Caenorhabditis elegans: one gene and its partner. The protein of the gene in region 1 interacts with the protein of each later gene in a pairwise test. Each region holds a gene or a part of one and is shown on either strand. Other genes may lie near its edges.

Region 1 (4,155 bases):
AAACATATTATTTTAAAATTGATTAAACATTTTCCTACATCTTTATATTATTTTTTGATTCAAAAAGTAGAATTCTCATTCTGAACTTTACAGTTCTGTACCTTTGCAAAAATATTTACCGCAACATATCTGAATCTCAAAATTCTGGGGCAACTTTGAAGTGCGCATGTTTAAACAAAGACAGAAATTATCAACTTCACAAGTAATAATATCTAATTTGAAAATCGGAAAATTTTCAAATAACTTTTCGAACTTCACAGCGGTGCCAGAATCTATAAATATTCTATGGATTTTCATTTTTTTTATCTTTTTTCTCCCATTTTTCACAGTCTCTATAATTTTTAGGCCATCTTGTAAGGAAAATGCGGTATAAAAAATTTGTCTATTTTTTTGGAAAACAAAACCAGGGTCATTCAATCTACATGCTGAACGGTTGTTCCCAGAAAATGTGTTTTTTTCAGAAATTGTTCCAAAAAATTGATTTTTCTCTTGTTGCTCTCTCCCTTTCTCTGCTTGTTTTTCAAGAAGAAGCTGACTGAACTACCGTAATCATGAAGAGAATGAGAGAGAAATGGGAAAAAAGTATTGAATTTCACCTATGGTCACACACAATTTCCTCTCTCGCCACCAGTCCCGTTGCTTTTCATTTCTTGGCTCCGCTATTTTACATTAGCAGCATGTTCAATGGGTGGCGGAGAAAATGGTGGTGAAGATATATGTATGTGGAGCCAATTTTATTGAGGGACTTTATTAGAAATTACATAGAAAATAAACATTATAAAGATTGATAAGAGGTACCAGCGCCAATCATCATATCATTGTAATTCATATAAAAACCGGGAAATGTTGCGGCGGCAGCTGCAGCAGAGTAGGAAGACAAATCTGATGGATTATGGAATGAATTGGAAAGTTTTGATGCAGTTTTCCGAATTAATTTCAGATCTTCTTCTTCACTAATATCTTTCAGACAATCTCTGGAATAAATTATATTTAATTTTTTCATAGCTTATAAAAATCAAATTACTTTGGCTCAGGAACTCCAGCTCTATCCCTTTGCCTTCTATTCTTAAACCAATTAGATACTTGGGTCACTGTCAGATGTGTCTTTTCAGCCAACTCCCTTTTCTCTCTTGGACTTGGATATGAATTCCGGCAATACCAGTCACGAAGAAGTACTCGAGATTTATCCTGAATCACAAAATTTTTTCAGAAAAGTATTGAATAACACACTCTAAAACAATAACTAGTCTCCTCGCCATCCCAAATAGTTCTTGGAAGTGGATATTTCCTTCGAATCCTGTATTTTCCAACAGCTCCAAGTTGGCGTCCGCGGATTTTTTCAGCTTCGTGGTAATGAGCATTGAGCCACCACTCTTGGAGAGGCAAGTGATGCTCAGATGCAAAATGATGAGATTCGATTATGCGGTATAGTTCCTAGATTTTAAAACATACATTGAATTTGGAGTAATTCTTACTTTAAAGTTATTTGAGTGAAACGCCAAAAAAGCTTGAGCTTTTAGAATATACTGATTGTTTCTCATCTCATCTCGTTCCAGCACAGTCCAAACAAATTGAGACTGAAATTTGAGTAATTGAGGATTTAGGCTTTTATTCGGACAAGCCAAATTTTTTTTTTAAATTGAGAGTATTTAGAAACTCAATTTTCTATAACATTGTAAAAATATTAAAATTGCAAAAATAGAAACAATTTAGTCTAGAATATACCGTAATTTTCCTATTAGTCTTGCACTTTTATCGCTCTACTTTAAAAGCATACATATTTATTGTCCTTGATTTTATTGAAACATTTTTCACAAGTATATGCGCTAATAATTTTTCTATATTTTAATAAATATGCAATTTTTGAAAGAAACCAAACACAACCGAGATACAACAAGGGAAACAAATAATTTTAAAAAAATCGAAAGGAAAATTCAGACTCACCAACTTCCTCGCATCATTTGACAATGCTTCACAAATGCATGCAACTTGCTCTTCGGAGTATCTGGTCGTGTCGCAACTGAAAAAGAAACAAGAAACTGAGGCGATGAAATTCCAGCAGATATCGTGTTGAAATCTGATAAAATTAAGTATCAATATCAGAAGAACATACGTAAAATGATGAGGATGAAACGATGAGGAGTTTAGTTGCATATTGCTCGGGTTGCTGATGATGATGATGCTCACACGGCGATGCTCGGTGTGACACAATGTTTGAAAACTGATAGTGAGAAGTTTTGGAAAAACGAAAAACGCGCTTTCGTTTTCATATTTCCCTCATAACAGACTGGAACAGCTGCTGCTAAATTCTTGTTGTCCAATTTTTTCTGATACAGTAAACTTAGAGAAGAAGCTTTATTTACAAAAAAAAATTAGTTGCGTAATAATAAATATTGCAGGTTGATAAACTGAAATATGGGAACAAGTGGGAAGCATTAAGGCACAAATGTCATTTTGTATTGGTTTTTTTTTAAATTTTCTTATGAAAAAAAAAATCACAGAAATTTAGAGGATTAGGCGACTTGAGAGGTTGTCATGGTAACCACTTTTTCACGGACCAGACTGATCACATTCTGATTACTGTCTTCTTTTACATCTTCGGAAGATTCTTCTTTTGTTTCATCAGAATTCTCGGTATTTTCTTTATCTTTAGATTCCTCTGCACGGGTTTCTTCTTCTTGAGCCGGCTCAGAATTTTTTGGAGTTTGAGTCTCTGTTCTTTGATCTTGGCATTCTTCTTGATCGTGATCTTCCACATCAACCTAAAGATTATTTTATCTTCAAAATTTATGGGTAAAAGCTATAATTTACCTCATCTTCACTCTTCGGCTCCTCTTCCAATTCTTCTTGCTCCCCGAGCAGTTCATTTTTTGCTCTTCTCTTCTCAACTCGCTCCATCCAACATACTTTGTCAACTATTCTGTGGAGAACTTTTCGAACTGCATAGTTATCACTCTCACGACGCGTACGATTACTCTTTTGTTTCTTCTGAAATTGAAAAATTGTTTGATTTTTTTAAAATGAAATACATTTTTCTTAAAAATTCTAAATACCTTATCCTCATTAACTTTATCTCCAACCGGCTGGCTCTTTCCTTTTCCATCCTTCTTCTGAATCTGCTGTTTCCCATTTTGATCCTTCTGATCTTTCTGACTTCCACGTCTTCTCTGCCCTCTTTGAGCCTCTCCATCGGAAGCGGTCACCTACAAAAAGCCGGAGATTCGTCGGGATGTGTTAATGAAACTTGAGAACACCTATCGGTGGCAATATCCAATGGTTGGCAGGCGGCTGGTGAGCGGTACTATTTGATGAGAGATGGTGACAGGTGTGAAATTGACTGGACGGCCAGTGATACTTATGTACTACATAAATCAAATAGGGGGATAGGTGGCAGGAAGGGGGCCCCCTTGATGTATTGATCTACTTAATTGTCATACAATATTTACATCTCATTAATTAAATTTGGCAGGCATCATCCCCGGTTTCTGTGTTTTTATCAATCATTGGTAACATATAAAATAGCCTTTAATAAGTGCCACTTTTTGCTCCAATTTATAGAAAACAGTCTGAATATACCAATACAAATGTAAAAATTAAATGACTTTTTCTAAATTTGTGAGTTTTTTTTCAAATTTCAAAAAAAAATTGAAAAAGGCTGAATCATTTTATAATTCCCGCGCAATTTAATAAACTACATAGTTTTGACATTTTTTTACTGGTTTCTTTTCAAATTCAAAATTGTACCTTTTTTTTGAAAAAAAAAATCATATTAATAAAAATTATCGATTTGTAGGCCAATTTCAGAATTTCGTTAATTTTCTTTTAGGCTATCAAGTTTTATTTATGGAAAAATGCCAGAAACAATGTTTCAAATTTTAAACCCGTTATCAAAAGAGGAATACCAGAAAATTCAAAACTAGGTTATTAATTTGCGCGGGAATTCAGAATAAGCCGTTTCATATTTTTTGCAAAATTGGAAAAAATAATAAAAAATTTAGGCAAATTCTATTAATTTTTTACAGTTATATTCGGTATATTGGGACTGTTTTCTGTTATTTTGAGCAAATATCCAACTTTTTTGGTTTAAGTAATTTTGCAAAACGTATTCTATTACACTTTATGACGTCACAATTGTACACATTTTTAAAACTTTTT
Region 2 (5,296 bases), on another chromosome or scaffold:
ATCAAAATAATTGAAAATCAGCAAAAATTGTTTTTTTTTATTTTTCAGAAAAATTGCCCGATTGGCTCAGTGTGATTTTCAACGGCAACCAATCTCATGACCATGGTTCGAACCCCCGCTGTGGCATATATTTTTGTTTTGGTGTTTGTATACTAAACCGGGTCTGCTGGATACAAATTTCGAGTTAGCAATATTTTAAGTTCTCGGAAATCTTTATTTCTAGCAAAGAACATATATTTTTCTTGTAATTTGGATCAAGGGTGTCGGTTTTTCGATTTTTCCAGAAAATCGAAAAATTAAAAATTTTCGATTTTTCGTTTTTTCAAATTCGAAAAATCGAAAATTTTTCGTTTTTCGATTTTCCGAAAAAAACGAAAAATCGAAAATCGAAAAATTTTTCGATTTTTGAAATAAACTTACAAAACAGCTGATAATGTTTTATTTTTGAACCTTTTCGTTGTAGGAGGTTGTAAATATCTATTCAAAAAGGGTTCCCCCACAGGGAAGGATAATCAAAACAGTAAATTTTCACTGAAAAACATCGAAAAATCGAAAAATCGAAAAAATCAAAAAAATCGAAAAATCGAAAAATGACACCCTTGATTCGGATGTACATTAAGCCTAGAATACCCTAAAAATGAGGCTAATATACTGAAAAAAAAAACTTAACAAAATAATTGAAAATCAGCAAAAATCCCTCATTTTTAAAAATTTTCAGAAAAGTTGTCCAAATGGCTCTGTGCGATTTTCAGCGGCTACCAAAGTTACAACCAGGGCTCGAACCCCCGCTGTGGCATATATTTTTATTTAGGTGTTTTTATACTAAACCGGGGAATTTTTTATCAAATCTTGAAATGCTCACTGAGCCCAGGATATTTTAAAAACCAGCTCAAAATTTGGAGAAATTGCCTACAAACCAACAAAAACCCTCGATTTTCAAAATTTTCAAAAAAATTGACCGTATGGCTCAGTGGGATTCTCGGCGTCTACCAATCTCACGGCCCGGGTTCGAACCCCCGCTGTGGCATATATTTTTTCTTTTTCTTTTTCAATGCTTTTACAGACTTCTGAACCCCATCAGGACCCCTCCAAAGCTTGCGAATTTCCGTTCTCAGGAATAATGACGAAACCCGAGCCACCACTCCATTTACATACAGCTCTCAGCTTCTTCTTCCCTCACTACTTTCAAGGCGTCGGACGGGGTGCTTCACAAACAATGCCATCTGTATTTGTTTGCTCGGCGAGCAGTAGCACAGGAGCTTTACATATGTCGCTGTTGTTCAAATACACGGTAGTGGAGGTGATAACTAGGCCGGGGGGCAGTGAAGTAATGAGTGAAAAAATTAAAATTTTGATAAAAACCGGCCAAAAAAATTTGACTTGAATCAATCCCGGAGGGTTCCCCAAAAGCCCTAAAACTTAGTAAGAGCCCGGTGCGGAAAAAAGGTATAAGGGTATCTAGTTTCAAGTGACCGCCGGCGAACAGGTAAGAAAAGAGCCGCGGGAGTTTTCTCAGAGCTCCCCGCCACCAAACAGGTGTTGCGATTTCTACCATAACTCGGTGGAGAGCATAGTTCGAGGAAAGTTGTCAACTAGCAAAATATTACTTGGAAAATTTCCTACAATTTTGTGGTTGGAAACTTTTTTCTTGCTATTCTAGTTTTAAAGTTACGAGGGTTTTAAAAATTTAAAAATAAGCGCCAGGAAATTTTCAAACTCATCTCTTATGCTCATTGAGCCATTTTCTGACTCGTGACTAAAATTTTCGACATGCCTATACCCAAATTAGTCTAAAACACCAAAAAAAAAAAATTAAGCCACAGCGCGGACTCGAACCCGGTCTTCTGCTTGGAAGCCCACCAAAATCCCACTGAGCCACTTGCACCAAATTTTCGAAATTTTATTTTTGGATTTTTTACTGCTTTGCCACAGAAATTGTGCATCGAAGAGCCCCAAGACCTCTGAATTCGATCCCGTCACCACAGGGGGTCCCCCCAACTGTTGCAAGTTGGCTAATGATGGCTATATAATGATGTAATATGGTTGCGTGAGGGGGTATCTAGACTCAACTGGGTATTGGAAAAAGACTAAGGGGTGCCTAAAATCAACTAGTCGCATAAATTGACCAAAAAAAAAATCCAAAATTTACAATAGGGATGTACATCATAATTTTTGATAATTTTTCTGATTAATGTCAGTTTAAAAGGCGATTCGGAGCAAGTTCCTAGTTAAAAATGTATCTTTTTGGAAAAATAGTGAAAATCAAAAATAAGTGTGCTCATTGAGCACCAGGTGACCCAGACATTTGTTTACGTGGATTATAAACTTCGCTAATTATTGATTTGTTTATTTTTCCGAGTTGCAACAAAGTTCGGAATTTTCTACTAAAAAACTTCAACCTAGAAGTTTAAAAGATAGAAATTTGAACTCAGCGCACTCAAATTAATCTAGAAACAGTAAAATGAAAAAATTGTGCCACAGTGCGGACTCGAACCCCGGTCGTCAGATTGGAAGTCATCCGAAATCCCACTGCGCCACTTGGACCAAATTTTCGAAATTGCGAAAAATGAAGAGTAAAAGCTCTGAAAAAAGTTTATTTCAGCTTAAAAATCTACATTTTTATCTGAAACCCCAACCCCGTACCATTAAAATTCGCAGTTCTACTCGTTTTGAGCTCCGAGAGCTTTTTTTCTGGGTTACAAGGAAATTAAAGCCAAGAATCATTTATATAGCTCATCCACACAAAAACAAAAATAAATGCTACAGCGGGGACTCGAACCCCGGGCTTCTGCTCGGAAGCTGTCCAAAAACCCACTGCGCCATTCAGGAACATTTTTAAGATTAGAAATATCGATTTTTCGAGTTTTTTAAATTAAAGTTCACGGTTTAGAAAACTCACAAAATACAGAGAACATTGTAGGAGAGGTTAGCTAGAACTGTCTAGGTACTGAATGGGGAAAGGAGGTACATGGAGGGGGGGGGGGGGGGGGGGGGGGGGGTGTCTTGGAAGAGCTCATCTTACAGACAGACCCTTCTCGCAGAACTTTCTCCAGTTTCATCACCATGCCGATATTTGATACTTTTGGGATGGGGTACCGGGCGCCCGGGGGCGCCCTGAAGCGACATATAACTCACCTCAGAATCTGGAAGCATTTTTTTTTTGATTCAGGAATTGCGAACAATTTCAGATATATAGATTTGGAAATTGTTGAGCAAAAATTTGAGCAACTGGCACGCAGAAGCAGGGAGAGACTGACTCTGATGTATTTGTGTGTGTGTGTGTGCTCTCGTTTTCTCTGCCGGCTCTCTGAGCTCTCGGAGCTCTCACCCCTGAGCTACCGTATGTCTGAGCCAGTCGGCTGTCTGCTCGGAGCTCCGCCTTTTGGTGGAAAATCGCATTATTTTCGGATTCTGAAAAATTAATTTTGAAAAAAAAGTTTTGTACGAGTGACTCAGTGGGATTTTGGAGGGCTACCAATCTGACGACCGGGGTTCGACTCCGCACTGTGGCATAATTTTTTTTCTTTGTTGGTTCGACTATATAAGCCCTGCTGAACACGAATTTTTAACATACAAATTTTTAACTTTTTATTGAAAATAAACTATCAAGCTTAAATTTTAATAGCTCATTGCACCTAGCACACATGAGACATATGCTGAACAGTCCCAAAAAATGCTCAAAATTTTTAAAAATCAGCTCAAACCTCGATTTTCTGAAAATTTGCTCGAATGGCTCAGTGGGATTTTGGAGGGCTTCCAATCTGACAACCGGGGTTCGAGTCCGCACTGTGTCATAAATTTTTTTATTTATTGGTTTGACTATACAAGCCCTGCTGAACACGGATTTCTGACTTATATACTATTTGTAATAACATTTTCAACATTTTGGGGATATATATATATCCCTTCGAAGCTTGGTCTCCAATAGCTTGAACAACTTTAAAACAAGTTCAAAATTGGAAAAAAAAAATATATCGAAATTGCTGAAAAATCAGCTCAAACCGTAATTTTCAAGTTTTTCTGAAAATTTGGCCGAATGGCTCAGTGGGATTTTGGCCGGCTACCAATCTTACGACCGGGGTTCGAGTCCGCACTGTGGCATGAATTTTTGTTTTGCTGTTCTCAGAATAATACAAATCTCCTGAATTCGAATTTTCAACTCTCAAAACCAGAAAGACTTGCTAGGTCGGCTCAAACTTAATTTCTTTTTGTGTACGAGTGGCTCAGTGGGATTCTAGCCAGCTACCAATCTGAGGTCCGGGGTTCGAGTCCGCGATGTGGCATAATTTTTTTTTTGGTGTTATTCTACTAAATTTCGACTTTCCGAGTTCGAATTCGGTCAAAAATTAGACATTTCCACACTGCTTTGTGATTTTTTCGAACTTTTATACCTTCTCAAAAAATCGATATTATTTGTTGATTTTACCCCCTTCCCTTATTTTCCTCTCATTTCTGAGAGTATAGGGAGATGGGGAGCGTGCGAAAGCGGCGAAGCGATCATATTTCAGTTTTCGGGAGCACAGAGTCGAGACGCTGACTTCAATTTTAGTAGTATATGGGACGAGGGACGATTTTGCAATGGAATATTGATTTTGGAGGAAACCCATTGAGTTTTAAGGCATGGGACCTTGAAATTCGGATTCAGAATGTCGATATTAGCCAAATAACACTAAAACAAAAAAATATGCCAAGGCGCGGACTCGAACCCAGGTGGTGAAATTGGTAGTCACCCAAAATCCCACTGAGCCAGTCGGACAAAAAGTTGAAAAGTTCTAGAAAATATGAAATTTGAATAGCAAAATAAAATTAGAAGTCTTAATAAGAAGTTTTCAATAATTCAGGTACTGCTTTCAAAAATTAGCAGGTCGAATTCGGAAACTCTCGAGAAAAATGCTTCTGTGGGCTTCTCGAACAGTTTATGAACCTGGAAGTTTGAAAAATAAAATTAAAATGTTGAATTTAGACTAGTGGGCTTCACTCCGCAGACGTATCCTTTGTAGCATATATTTGTGGGTACCAGCCCTGCGGTTGACATGTTGCATCTAAAAAATTCGAATATTTGGAAAAAATTGGATTTTTTAAATAAAAAAATTCACAAAAAATGGTCCAACTGGCGCATAGTGAAAGTGTTATATTCCTTCCCTTTCCCAAAAATGTCAATTTTTCGAGAAAAAACATTAAAGCTCAAGTTTCCATAGCTATGTGAGCTTAGAAGAGCGTCAGAGTATGCTGAAAAGCCGCAAAAATATCAAAAATTGTTGAAAGTTAGAAAAAACCACGTTTTCCAATAATTTTC

The links.
Region 2: the proteins of ceh-33 (region 1) and eya-1 interact in a two-hybrid assay, tested with the Caenorhabditis elegans proteins (2 studies listed by BioGRID).

Annotation. Positions count from the first base shown.
Region 1 is NC_003283.11:5,322,463-5,326,617, forward strand, and holds ceh-33 (Homeobox protein ceh-33), read right to left. Parts: upstream 2,205-4,155; 5' UTR 2,155-2,204; coding exon 2,114-2,154; intron 2,021-2,113; coding exon 1,945-2,020; intron 1,578-1,944; coding exon 1,476-1,577; intron 1,435-1,475; coding exon 1,231-1,434; intron 1,189-1,230; coding exon 1,025-1,188; intron 975-1,024; coding exon 776-974; 3' UTR 732-775; downstream 1-731. Other genes in the region: C10G8.8 (HABP4_PAI-RBP1 domain-containing protein), read right to left, coding at 2,514-2,762, 2,812-2,988, 3,054-3,203.
Region 2 is NC_003279.8:14,228,090-14,233,385, forward strand, and holds the start of eya-1 (Protein phosphatase eya-1), read right to left. Parts: upstream 3,272-5,296; 5' UTR 3,154-3,271; coding exon 3,136-3,153; intron 2,942-3,135; exon of another isoform or gene 2,900-2,941; intron 1,013-2,899; exon of another isoform or gene 943-1,012; intron 1-942. Other genes in the region: clec-114 (PAN-3 domain-containing protein), read right to left, coding at 4,946-5,042. UniProt on the Caenorhabditis elegans protein: Tyrosine protein phosphatase. Acts probably as a transcription regulator in the embryonic and postembryonic development of several tissues including pharynx, vulva and gonads. Required for the development of anterior tissues during late embryogenesis.